Linked DNA regions of Mytilus edulis. The protein of the gene in region 2 interacts with the protein of the main gene of each other region in a pairwise test. Links are inferred from orthologs where the notes say so. Each region holds a gene or a part of one and is shown on either strand. Other genes may lie near its edges.

Evidence for each region.
Region 1: the proteins of C-Jun-amino-terminal kinase-interacting protein 4-like (region 2) and kinesin light chain-like interact in binary tests that used the Caenorhabditis elegans proteins (3 or more experiments, as listed by UniProt). The link is inferred for Mytilus edulis from reciprocal best matches to the Caenorhabditis elegans genes unc-16 and klc-2.

Annotation. Positions count from the first base shown.
Region 1 is NC_092346.1:18,417,249-18,425,020, reverse strand, and holds the start of kinesin light chain-like, read right to left. Parts: upstream 3,005-7,772; 5' UTR 2,710-3,004; intron 1-2,709. UniProt on the Caenorhabditis elegans protein: Kinesin is a microtubule-associated force-producing protein that may play a role in organelle transport. The light chain may function in coupling of cargo to the heavy chain or in the modulation of its ATPase activity.
Region 2 is NC_092351.1:70,275,420-70,282,648, reverse strand, and holds the start of C-Jun-amino-terminal kinase-interacting protein 4-like, read right to left. Parts: upstream 3,026-7,229; 5' UTR 2,861-3,025; coding exon 2,564-2,860; intron 1-2,563. Other genes in the region: uncharacterized protein, read left to right, coding at 3,087-3,252, 4,904-5,004, 5,668-5,737, 6,154-6,284, 6,660-6,748. UniProt on the Caenorhabditis elegans protein: The JNK-interacting protein (JIP) group of scaffold proteins selectively mediates JNK signaling by aggregating specific components of the MAPK cascade to form a functional JNK signaling module.

The DNA of each region.
Region 1 (7,772 bases), on a different chromosome or scaffold from region 2:
ATTATTCCGATTGTCGAACAAGTGTCATAAATTAGAATTTTAGGAAATGCTGCATATTGTCAAAATTTAATGAAATACAAGCTTTTCTTATTTGCAAAACCTACATGTACAATGTAACCTGTTGCAAATTTTTGCAGTATTTTAAACATTTTGAATGTACCTGTTTATATCATTTGTGTATATAATTGCCCAAATTGCAATGCAGCGATCATGATTTATAAAAAAATCAGATAAATGCCAAAAAATGTACATGTACTATGCATTATCAGGCCCATTCTACATGTTATAAAATTAAGAGAAAAAAAATAATTATGTCAACATCCACATGATACATTTATCAGTGAGCATGCTTGTTGGACAGTACATGTATAGGCACTATGCATCAAACTTTAATGATTGAATTCAACTGAATAGGCAGAGGCAAAAGTAATGTTACCTGCAGCTTTTAAAAGGGCACTCTTAGAAAGATCTGTGTGGAAACTACACTTTTAAGTTTTAAATTAGGGCACCTATTACATAAATGTAAAGGCAATAGGTAGGGATTAGTCAAATTAAACAATCGTTTCATATATATTCAGGGTTAGGAAATAAAGGTAAGAAATGAATTAGCATGTGTTGCAATTATTAGTGTACCAGCAATGTACAAATGATGTATACTTGAACATTTGACAATAATTTTAAAATGTGTTTTTCTCAAGTATGCTTCTTCTAAGCAATTAATTATAAGATTAATTTAAATTTCGTATATTGTTTGTGTCTTATTACTATTTTTATTAAATTGAACTGTTAGATGAAGTTAATAGAATAAATGTGCGAAGTCATGTATTTTTATCATTATTTCATGATGCACAAATATTATGATTAGTATATATACATTAAAATACAAAATGTTGCATGTATGATGATATTTGATAAAAGAATTTGCCATAAACATCTTCATCTCCAAGTTATGATTAAACAAGAATGTGTCCATAGTACACGGATGCCCCACTCGCACTATAATTTTCCATGTTCAGTGGACCGTGAAATTTGGGTCAAAACTTTAATTTGGAATTAAAATTAGAAAGATCATATCATAGGGAACATGTGTACTAAGTTTCAAGTAGTTGTGACTTTAACTTCATCAAAAACTACCTTGACCAAAAACTTCAACCTGAACTTCGCACTTTCATTATCTATGATCAGTTAACCATGAAATTGGGGTCAAAACTATAATTTGGCATTAAAATTAGAAAGATCATATCATGGGGAACATGTGTACTAAGTTTCAAGTGGATTGGACTTCAACTTCATCAAAAACTACCTTGACCAAAAACTTTAACCTGAAGTCGGACGAACGAACGAATGGACGGACGAACGAACAAACGGACGAACGAACGAACAGAGGCACAGACCAGAAAACATAATGCCCCTCTACTATCGTAGGTGGGGCATAAAAAAAAGCAATTGATTACTAACTCATAATGTAATCCTGATCATACTAACATACTAGATTTCATTCATCCAAATATTGACAAAAATAAAGATGTATGACTTCCTGATGGAACACATGAATTAAATCAAAGAAAACCCACATCATTACCAGGCCACTGTTAACAATAAGGTCTGAAAGATTAACATGCCCGCCCAGTGGAATATAAAAGTACAAAAAGTACCATTAGTAGGCATTACAAGGTGTCGATAAGCATGATAAGTCTAGATTTCAAGTTCAACTGTCTTTTACATGTGTTAAATATCTTTCACTCATGCCAAATTGTGATGATGCAGATTTTACTTGGTATCTAGATTCCTTGACCCAATTCTGAATCCGAGTCTGTTCGCACACTATCACGTTCGCCCCCTTTCAGTTTTGAACCCTACACGTTCACGCCCCATTTTTATTGGTTTTGTGTTTGATAACTTTGTATAAATCAAGCTTTGGCAAGTGTATTACTGTAAGTGTTACTGTATTTGTTATCATTGTCCTAAATTAGATTGAGACAATGTGGTTTTTTTTGTGTGTTTAATAAATCTTAATCTTGTTTTGGTTAAGTGTATTGCTCACTTTTATTTCATTGTTTCAAAATAAAGTGAGACTATGACAACATATTTTTTTTTTTGTGTTGAATAAATTTTAATCAAGTTTTGGTTCTAGTGCATTGCTATGATTTTTTGTTTCATTGTTTCAGATCAAAAGGGCCAAGCTGTTAAAATCTTTTGTGTTTTTCATTTAAAATCTTCAATGTTTTTACTCATACCCAGCTAAACATGCTAAATACATGCAGTTTTTACATCAAATCAACTAAAAAAACAATCTTGATTTTCTAACTATTCAACAGGAATTTTATTTAAAATTGGGTGCGAACGGACCTGGGAGTGAACCTGCGAGATGCGAACATGTAGGGTGCGAAACTGTATTGGGCGCGAACGGACCTGATACCCCTGATTCCCGAACACTCAGGTATTTTTGACACCTGCAACTTATCAAAAAGAATAAGGACCTTAGAGCTACAGTTCCACAGATACTGTTCTGCATGGCCTGAAAGGGTGGGGTGGTTTGCACAAGTCTACATTGCCCTAAAAATAAAACAGGTTTTCATAGTAGAGGCTAGAGCCGATTGTACTTGGAGGCATAACATGTCAACTTAGCATGCTTAAGTTAACGTCTAAGCTAAGTGGATATAGAAATAAATACTTATTGAGAATATTGTCCTGAAATATGTTAATTACCTTAAAATTTTCAGATATGTATTACTATTAAAAATTACAAAATCTATACATCTTGTTGAGCTGGACTTTCCTGTCAGACTTGACAGTTGGTGGGTATTCTAAGTTGCAAATCAACGTCGGCACCAATGTTTTCGGCCATGTGCAGTGGTGTTTTAGCAAAGCTTAAATTTATAATGTCTGTCTGTGTATTTAAATTTTAGTAGAGCTATAACAGCAAAATATAGTGTTTATGTGTACAACTTCACTCCCCACACAAGTAACATGGCCGTTTTCATGAATAACTGGTTTTGATAAAAGACAGATTTTATTCTGAAATTTATAAAAAAAATCACTCAGGACTAGAATCTCTGGTTATATTTATAATCATCGTAAAATGTTCAGTTCCAAGAATACAAAATAAGTAAAAGATCTTAATTGAGGTTATTGGAAGAAAAAAAATACAGTAAGATTTAATAATGCCGTTGAACATTTATTGTAAAATCATCAATCGAAAAGGTATCCGGTCGTTCCGGCCCCAAACCGATCCGGCCCCAAGTCAATCCGGCCAACGTCGATCCGGCCCCATAATAAAATATGAATAAACTATATTGATTTTGGGGGAATTTGTGACAATTTTTAACAGTATAAATAGAATTTGCAAAAAGTGTCCGATGGTGGATGACATCAGGAAGTTAGTGAAGTATTGGAGTACCAGTTAAAGAACTATAGATATATTTTAATATATAATTGGTTTGTTTATTCAACAATTATCTGATGATTGTGAACTAAGGTAATGCCACTCGTAATCACTTAAATCAATCAAATCCTGATTAATTAAAGTTACGTAATCAACAAGTTTTTTATACATGTTATAGTTTGATCTTCTGGTTGGTTGCATTTAAATAATAATTAATTGTATTTTTTTTTCAGGTAACATCATAGACTATCTTTGTTTATAGGTGGTGCGCCTTATTAACCTATACTAGTTTAAACTTAATTTAATAAATCTAAATATAAATAAAATTAATAAAATTAATTATTGTTTTTAACTTCTATAAGGGATTGAGAATTTTCGTTTTCGAGACTTTGGTTTTTGACTTATACTTTTGCATCTAATTTGTAATAAAAGAAAAATACAGTATGGTTGTTATGCTTTCCTTTTTTGTTTTTGTTTTTTCTTCATCTGTGGTTGTAAGTGTTATGTGTTAATAATAACGTATTGTGTCACTTGTTTATATTTGTTTTAAATATGATAGTCAGTTGCTCTGTCGTATTTCTTGAATACTATAGGTAGAATATGTTTGATCAGTTGCCCCAGCCAGTGGTCCCGTAAGAATCGTGTATACTATCCCACGGAAGAAAAAATATTTTTTATTGGGGTCGGATCGACTTTACAAATATATGGGCCGGATCGACGTGGGACGGATCGACTTGGGCCGGATCGACGTGGGGCCGGATCGACCCGATAGCTCGAACAAAAACGGCTCCTCTAATTTTTGCAGAGACCAATGATTTGTATGGTAAATACACATCCTTGTAACATTTTTACAGTTATAATTGTAAAAAGTAATACATTATAATTACCAGAATTTTATGTCTTCGAGGGTCGTCTATGACTTTTGTCATTGTCCAAAACCGACTTAGCCATTGTTTAACTTGATGTATTCACATTTACTACGGTATGCCAATAATTAAGAAATTTATTTTATTTTGTTATCCATAAAGTCAGAAAATAATATTTAAAAACCGTACGGATCATTCGAACAAAAAACTTTAGGTCTAAATTATATTTTCTGATTAAATTTTATAGCACATAGCACTCACAAGAACACTTCGTAGAGATCTAAAACATCACGAACCCGACCGGAACTGTCCCCGGATGGTACACATTAGTGCATGATGCAAGTGTTAACAGCTCTTTCAATTTGTTGGCATCATGTATAGTTAGTTGGTCGTGCTGTTGCTGCGAGGTATACAAAAATTGTACAATTTAAAAGATGAATTTTAAATGAAAGTCATCTATGTATCATCAGATACATATAATACAATAATATCTTTGGTATCATGCACTGCATATCAAGTCAGCGCTTTCGTCACCATACATAAAATGCTGTTACACAAATTCTGTCCTTGTGTGAATTTTTGCTTTAATTGCAGAAAAATATAAAATCCCGTGTTTGGTTTTAGAGCTCATGAACTTATATATTATAGATTAATTCAACCATGTACACGTATTGATCCTTTGTACTTTAATATAAAAAAAAAAAAAAAAGAAGAAAAGAAAATATGGTATAATTGCCAATGAGACAACTCTCCAAAAGAGACCAAAATGACACAGAATTTATCAACTATAGGTCACCGTACGGCCTTCAACAAGTGGCTATCAATACAAGACACAATACTGTGGAAATATATTTGATTATTGTCTATATCTGTAATAACATTTTACAGCCCATTTCATTGAGTGTATAGCTAAAAGTAATATCTTTAGGTCACAGTAAACTACCATCCTTTAAGAGTAGACTAGTCCGATAGAGACAGATAACCAATCTATCGTGTATGTAGGACTAGGTTACTTCAAAAAGAGGGTTGTATACCTTACCTAATAATGACTTCACGGTTCAGCTGGCAAGCAAGCTAACCAAATATATTCCCTGTAGCTACACATTCAATGAAATTGGCTGTAAACTTCTGAAATGTATTGTTGTACCGTTATAGACACTCAAAGTTATGGTCCAACATGATTTCGACACTTATCCATTTTATACATTGCGCAAGATCGTATGCTTTTCTCAGTGAAAATGTTTCTTTTCTTTTTGCATTGCTTGTTTGTGGTCTCATTTTAACATACCTAAACGCCCTGTTAATTATTTTTATGACCAAATGTATCCAGCGAATTCGGTGTAATATTTATATCAAAAATAATCTGAAAACGCCATGGCTAAGAAAGAAAAAGACAAACAGACAAATATTTTTTTTATAGATTTTTATAATTTTTTTTATAGATTAGACCGTTATTTTTCTCGTTTAAATGGTTTTACATTATTAATATTTCAGCCCTTTATAGTTTGCTGTTCGGTGTGAGCCATAGCTCCGTGTTGAAGGCCGTACCTCGACCTATAATGATTTATTTTTATAAATTGTTACTTAGAGAGTTGTCTCATTGGCACTCAACCATATCTTCCTATATCTAAATAATAGTACTATAATAGTACTGGTGGTGATCTCAGATGCTTTGGAAGTTTTAGCACTGATGCAGATCATGCACACATCTGGCACCAGTTGTGTTGCTCATGTTATAACAAACCCGGTTAATAGTCTAATTCTGTGGGATACCTTCGTGAAAAGGGAAAGGGAGTGTATAGTTACTATATATATATATATATATATATATATATATATATATACGTAAGGATTATATCCGATCATCTGTGTAACGGCCAACCAACTCGTGATGGCGTCCGTAAAATTAACCATTTAGAACTCTTGGTTTTATATAGCTTCCTTGTGAGCAGCAACCCTCTGACAGCCAAGGAAATTATGATAGGAAGTACAAATAACAAAGAATTTTAACTTTAAATATTTATTGTTGTTCTAGCATATAGACAAGTATATTGAAGGTTATTTTTGTTAATTTATAATAATTTTAAAAGCATACTATTGGTATTGTTAGTCATCTCAGGAAATCAGATTGTGCTAGAATTTCGTGTCATGCATTTGAGTTTGTCATACGGCTAACTGTTTGGCCTGATGAAGTAAGAAATGTGGCCCAGCTTGGTCATTGGTTATTTCCTTTGATTAAAGGAATCCATCCTATCATACAATTCAAGTTTGCTACTATGCTATTTACAGTTTATTTTACAAACAGGATTATTGGACAGTATTTACAACAACAACTATATATATAGCTGAACCACTTACACATTCAAAAATTATACAGTCAAGCAGAAACTCCATATGATACCTAATTATAATTATACTTCTGACTGGTTAATTAAGATGGATATACAAAGAGCATTCGGTGGAATTAAACAATCATACAAAGGCATCATGCTTACAAGGGGTATTACATGCCAAAAATACCGGTGTCTAGAATATAATAAAGTATTTTTGGAAAAATACCACTTGTAAGCATGTTAAATTTGTACAGAAGCTCAATCGCCAGACATGTCATTATGCATGCAACAAATTAAAACCAAGCCAAACCCTTGAATTGTTCAGAAGAAACAGACACACACACACGATAATCGGTTGGTCTCGTGGTTGTATGTTCACCTCTAGTGCGGGAGATCATTGGTTCTAGAGGGCCCTCATGGGGTTTTTGATTATGTGATTACTTGGCCGTTTTTTTTAATGATTATTTGATTATTAAGCCAAATATTTCATGATTATTTGATTACCTAGGACTGTATTTTTAGTTTATGATTATTTGATTACTAAAGATAAGCAAATATTTAATGATTATGTGATTATATTGGCAAAAAAATGGTGATTATGTGATTACTAGGACCCCCCCCCCCCCCCCCCGCATGAGGGGCCTCGTTCTAGGCCGGGTCAAACCAAAGACTTTGAAATGGGTGTTGTTGCTTCTCAAGTAAGCTTGCAGCATTACGAGCCAGTCGGTGAATTAACATATGTTCGTCATTTAGTGACAACAATTGGCAATCATATCACATCTCATCTCGCATCTCTTCTGCCTCCGAGTTTAGTTGGAATTTGAAATCAAGCTAGGCACTGGGACACAACAGTTAAATATAAATTTTAGGCGGCCTGAGTGCATGCATGCCGCTATTTTCCGGCACCGGCAAAATATAAAAATATATGCAATACCAGTTTACCGGCTCTGATTAAAATATCGCAATTGATTGGAAGCCGGCAAAGTTAAAACAAAACTATTTTTATAGACAATAGCTATTTAGCCAGCGTCGACAATAAACGCATTACGGTGAATTTGATAGTTTGTCGGTTCTTTTATAAGAGTGAATTTTGGTATTTACTTTTGAAAAGTATAAAGAAATGGTGATTGTTAACATAAAAGGATCAAATTAATACTCATATATTTAAATTAGATAACAGTTACAATA
Region 2 (7,229 bases):
TACATACACAGTTAGATTTGGTATATCAAAGAACCCCATTTATTCAATTTTTGATGAAATCAAACAAAGTTTAATTTTGGACCCCGATTTGGACCAACTTGAAAACTGGGCCAATAATCAAGAATCTAAGTACATTTTTAGATTCAGCATATCAAAGAACCTAACTGATTCATTTTTTGTCAAAATCAAACTAAGTTTAATTTTGGACCCTTTGGACCTTAATGTAGACCAATTTGAAACGGGACCAAAAGTTAAGAATCTACATACACAGTCATGACAGGTAGATTCGGCATATCAAAGAACCCCAATTATTCAATTTTGATGAAATCAAACAAAAGTTTAATTTTGGACCCTTTGGGCCCCTTATTATGTTGGGACCAAAACTCCCAAAATCAAACCCAACCTTTCTTTTATGGTCATAAACCTTGTGTTTAAATTTCATAGATTTCTATTTACTTATACTAACGTTATGGTGCGAAAACCAAGAAAAATGCTTATTTGGGTCCCTTTTTGGCCCCTAATTCCTAAACTGTTGGGACCTAAACTCCCAAAATCAATACCAACCTTCCTTTTGTAGTCATTAACATTGTGTTTAAATTTCATTGATTTCTATTTACTTAAACTAATGTTATAGTGCGAAAACCAAGAATAATGCTTATTTGGGCCCTTTTTTGGCCCCTAATTCCTAAACTGTTGAGACCAAAACTCCCAAAATCAATCCCAACCGTTCTTTTGTGGTCATAAACCTTGTGTCAAAATTTCATAGATTTCTATTAACTTAAACTAAAGTTATAGTGCGAAAACCAAGAAAATGCTTATTTGGGCCCTTTTTGGCCCCTAATTCCTAAAATGTTGGGACCAAAACTCCCAAAATCAATACCAACCTTCCTTTTGTGGTCATAAACCTTGTGTTAAAATTTCATAGATTTCCATTCACTTTTACTAAAGTTAGAGTGCGAAAACTAAAAGTATTCGGACGCCGGACGACGACGACGACGACGACGACGACGCCAACGTGATAGCAATATACGACGAAAATTTTTTCAAAATTTGCGGTCGTATAAAAATGTACTTTTAAGATATCAAGACTAGAAATGCAAGTAATTCATGTAATTTAGAAAATAGAGAACTTTTGGTAACAAGCATCTTTTCTGGATGTACCTTTATGGGATATAAGACAGATCCCTTGAAAATGCAGGATAAAAGAGAAATCATTCTGACAGACATGCAAAATTATCAGAATTGCCTAACCAGAGGAATTATATTGGGAAAACCCAGATTTTAAATTAAAGTCAAAGACATTTGGTTATAGAAGGGGCCCTTAGGAATTACAATTTTGCATGTTATTATGTAGAGTGAAATTTAAGGTTAAATTATTATGAAAGAAAAAAGTAACTTGACTTCAAATGGAAAAAGAAAAATTATAAAGTATTTACGTCAATCCAATGAATCTTATCTTCAATCACAGAGTTCGGAAATCTTTTGATTCACATAATCTATTATCATGATTATGGCACTGAATCTATATATCTGACAAAGATATCATAAATAAAGCCTGCAAGTATATTTTGTTGCCAGGACCACTAAGGCAGTATGTGATAAAACCAATGCAAAACTGTTCTGTTTAATCAAAAATAATGTCATGTAAATAAGGCACCAAATTAAACTCCAGGGAAATTGTGTTTTCATTACCATGATTACCAGAAATTATAAGAGTATTAATTGTGAGGCCAAATTAATTAGTTACAGAAGTACTTATCTTCCACAACTATAGATGCACCAAAAAAAAAAAATGTAGTCAATATCAAATGACAAAATCACTTTTTTCGATCAATGATATTTATTCATTTACCATGTTTACAAAACAATATTTAGTAAAATATACTTAATATAGTTTACAGTATGACCATTATGAAAAAATGTGACTGCAGTCTGCATATTGAATAATCAATATGGTCAAATTGGTAATGTGACTGAATCAGCCTGTGGCCAAACTTATTTTGTAACTGAAATGCATCAATTTAGCGTACACATGCAGCGGTAGTCCAAACAATTTATCTTGCAATATAAAAAAGAAGATGTGGTATGATTGCCAATGAGACAACTATCCACAAAAGACCAAAATGACACAGACATTAACAACTATAGGTCACTGTACGGCCTTCAACAATGAGCAAAGCCCATACCGCATAGTCAGCTATAAAAGGCACCGATAAGACAATGTAAAACAATTCAAACAAGAAAACTAACGGCCTTATTTATGTAAAAAAATGATCGAAAAACAAATATGTCACACATAAACAAACGAAAACCACTGAATTACAGGCTCCTGACTTGGGACAGGCATATACATAAATAATGTGGCAGGGTTAAACATGTTGCAAGACATCATAATTATTTGAACTATAAACTATAAAAGCAGGGGTTGAGGTGTGATATGAGTATTGAGGGTTTTGAGGATTCAAAGTCGTAGAGATTAAAGGTTTCTGATTAATTTATTTGTGCTCATGCATCGGTTGTTATTATACTCCGCATTAAAGCAAAAGATGTCTCTTGTGAATACCTGATCTGCTACTTTTCGCAGCTGTTTTTCCCTTTCATACTGTGTCAACAACTGCTCATTATCATCTCTCAAGAGTTCCAATTCTACATCTGATTCTTGTTTATCTTGCAGCGCCTGGTCCAAACCTTCTAAAAGACCTACAGTTAATGGCATTAACTCTTTGACTACATCTTCGTCGTACTTTTTAATCATCCTTTCAAATTCTTTGTAAACATTCGTGGCAAGTGCTGAAACCTTTTCTGACATGACATGGCCCTCCTCGTTAGTTCCATACACCGTTTCGGCTATCTCAGCCATCTTTCAAATTTTCAATCAGCTATAAAATATATAATTGAGTTTGCTAAATATAGCTACATTTTGTTTATACGTATGGGATTTGATCAAAAGGAAATAATTCTGTTTTGACGTCTGAGCTGTCGTCCATATTGACAAGTTGATGTATAAATTAATCATGTGATGTACAGAGCATGCGTTGGCGAAAGAATGAGCCACTTCCGGTTTGGGGGCCAATACAAAAACAAACATGACTGGGTTCAGGCACCTCAGGAGAATTTCGGGTGCCATTTCGAAGTTTATTGCACCACAAAAAATACGAGTAACACACTTAAGATTTTCCTCCCAAATACTGCAGGGCAAAACAGTCAGAATAGGATGTGCCTGCGGTTTTTGGGGGGATACAGCTGTGGCTGGTAAGAGTTCAAAGTTTGTATTAGGTCAATTCGTCCCATAAAATCGCCCCAAGTATTACTTTTAAACTTAATTTTAATTAATGATTCCCCCTCCCTAGCAAACAGCAAGACAATATAGAAATATTGTTAAAGATAAATCTAACAAGATTGAAATTTCAAGATTTTTAATTCAATAACATGTTGGGTCAAAATAATTATTTGCTATTAGTATTAGTGTGACAGGATTGCTTCCCTTAGAAAAACTTAGTAGATACTTAGTCAGCCGTAAGCGGTTGAGCTATGGAAGTACTTCTTTAGCTCAGTCGGTTAGCGCGCTGCCTTGTAACACAGAGGTCCCGGGTTCGAGTCCCGGTGGAGACAAGCAATTTTGTAATGAAATTCGTGCTCTCCGGTTACATTGGCGCCCAACAATAATAACCCACGGTTAAAATATAAATATAAAAAAGATGAAAATATCATCATTATAGAGTATAATGACTCTTGAGGTGGGGGAAGTGTAACAGGATTGCTGCCCTTAGAAAAACTTAGTAGTTACTTACATTGTAGTCAGCCGTAAGCGGTTGAGCTAAGGAAGTACTTCTTTAGCTCAGTCGGTTAGCGTGCTGCCTTGTAACACAGAGGTCCCGGGTTTGAGTCCCTGTGGAGGCAATTTTGTAATGAAATTTGTGCTCTCAGGTTACATTAGCATAAATGTAATAATGGGTATTACATCTATGGTATTGGTAGTATGGTGATGTGTTTCTTAGAGTTTATGAATTTGTACACTAAATCCATTGGATGTGTACTGATTAATACTTAAGTCTGGTAATATATTTTTTATTTACTGCTCTAGTTGAAGACTAAGTTGGCTTTGAACTACATTTCAGCAACTTTGAGTACCCTTAATTCAGTGCTTTTTTTTGTCTTACCGTTATATTTGTTTTTCATGTAGAAATTTTTTAATTGTTTTTATTCCTTCTACCAATCTTTGGTTTTGTTTCTCTGACAGTCTTAAGTGTTTTGTATGCTGTTTGCTCTTGTTTTTCTTTTTTTGCCAGGACATTTTAAATTTAGACTCATGGTATCTTTCACCTCTCTTTTGAAGCCATTTAAAAAATGTGCTTGTATTGACATCCTATTTTGCTTGAGAATAAAACATTATCTGTAATCTCTGTTTGGTTAAATTTTGTTGATTCATTTATTATTTTATAAGATTAATTTATGTTTATTAGCTCCTCAATTTATCTATGGTACAAAGTTAGACTTTCTTTAATAGTTAATAATACTTTTTAGCTCCTCAATTGATCTATACTAAGGTACAAAGTTAGACTTTCTATAAGTAGTTTTATATTTTTTAGCTCCTCAATTGATCTATTTGGTACAAATATGACTTTCTATAATTTTAATTTTATGTTATATATTTTAGTTCCTCGATTGATCTATGGTACAAAGTTATACTTTCTATAAATAATTTTATATTTTTTAGCTCCTCAATTGATCTATGGTACAAAGTTAGACTTTCTATAATTTATGTTGTATTTTTTAGCTCCTCAATTGATCTATGGTACAAAGTTAAACTTTCTATAATTTATGTTATATTTTTTAGCTCCTCAATTAATCTATGGTACACTTTCTATAATTTTAAATTTACATGTTATGTTGTATTTTTTAGCTCCTCAATTGATCTATGGTACAAAGTTAGATTACCTGGTGTTTGATTACCTGTCAGAGATCACAATGTCGCTGTTAATTTCAGCTAAACATAAGTATCCCGTAAGTAGATTTTATTTACATGTCACTTTAAGATCATAGATTGAAAGATACTGAATAATTGAATAATGGAGTTGATTGAAGTCATGAAGATGGCTATATGTTATCTTCAAAATGATTGTAATGAAACCAGCCATCCCACACAAATGCAAAGAAATTTTTAATGACATTGAATGTTTTTGTAATGGAATGATAACATTGACTTCACTTAAGGTGGTACCTAACACTACAGGGAGATAACTCTGTAAAATAAGCTAAACGTTTTCATTATGTGGTGTTGTTAAGTAAATATTGAGCTTCTCAATGATCAGTGAAACTGCTGTATAACCAGTGTAATTTTTCTGATAAAATAGTTGGTTCAATTTTTTTGAAATTTTTATATTTTTGTCAAAGGGTCAAAGTTAATATCTTGTCAAAATTTTATGAAATTTAAACAAGCAAAATTAATCTAAGTGAAGATGTTAGGTACAACCTTAATATTTCATTGAAAACCCACCAATTAATAATTTATTTTTTCCCAAAGAAATACAGTGATGGCTTCAATATTGTGTAGCAGATTGACAGTTAAATATGTTGTATTTTTCATTTTGATCACCAACATTATTACATAAACAGCATATTTCACAAATCTATAAAGTAATTCAGTATTAATGTATTTAATTGTAGAATCTAGGGTATGCACCTGATTTTGTACAGATTTGTATGGCACCATTCATCAAAGATATCAAGTCTAAAGGTATTGTTTTATATATATATCAAATAAAGATTGACTGTCATTTCATTGCCAATAAGATTTTTTGGACCCTGTACATTTAGCCATGGTTCATTGACTTTGACTTTTTTTGCATAACTTACACGTTACAGTATTGCTATTTTAATTTTAACATTTGCATTTTACAATCAAAGTAACAAAAAGGTGAGACTTATCTCTGTGGTAACAGTTTACTTTTGCTTTCAGACTCTCCCTCAAATTGGCAAAAATACAACCTGCCTAAAGAATTAAATGGTTTACTTATAAATTAAGTAATTGATTTGGACTTGCAATTGTTTGATTGGAGCAACACTGATGAGTCCCTATGTATTTGGTTGTTTAATAACAGCCTGATATCTTTAATGAATTTTGACAGTATACATTCTTCATATATATCATAGGTATAAAAGTGATAAGTAATGCTGGTGGTGTAAATCCACAGGCCTGTGCTGATGCATTAAAACAGATATGTGCTTCAGTTGGTGTCGAGATGAATATTGCTGTTGTTACTGGTGATGACCTAATGCCTAAGGTATAAAACAGACACAATTAAATGATAGTTGTATAAAATATGTTGCTAGGGATACAAAAAAATATTCATTAGAAAGTAGGCCTTAGAATTTAGGAAGAACTTTTTTAATACTGTTCATAATGACGACAAGATCAACTTAAAATTAAAGGCTAATGTAGAATTTTCCCCTATGTATAATAACCATTTAGGAGAGAATATGTTATGTGAAAATTTGTGACAAATATTGATAATGTTATAAAAATTCTGCTGATATATTAACATAAGAAACAAGGCTTTATATATTGATTGACCACCAATTTTAAAAGTTTTAATACAGTGAATTATTTAGTATGATTTTTCATTTTTCCTTTGTTTAGTATTTATTGCTTATTTCAGAGCAAAGAATTGATCAACAGTTCAATCACTGATATGGATTCAGGTGATCAATTCCCTAAAACTGTACACAGTATGAATGCATATTTAGGGTAAGTTGGTGAAATACATTACAGTTAAGGGTAATGTTTTTTCTCTAAATATGAAAATGAGGACAACGAAGGAGGAGTGTTATAAATGATTGCCAATGAGACAACTTTCCATCAGAGACCAAAGGATTTATCTAACAAAGGGAACGAAGGAGGAGTGTTATAAATGATTGCCAATGAGACAACTTTCCATCAAAGACCAAAGGATTTATCTAATAAAGGGAACGAAGGAGGAGTGTTATAAATGATTGCCAATGAGACAACTTTCCATCAAAGACCAAAGGATTTATCTAATAAAGGGAACGAAGGAGGAGTGTTATAAATGATTGCCAATGAGACAACTTTCCATCAGATACCAAAGGATTTATCTAATAAAGGGTCACTCGCTGTCACATTACAGCCTTAATCAATGAGCAAAATCCATATTTTTAACTATGGAATAAAGGGTCTGCATTACAAAATGTGAAACAATTTTTAAAAGAGA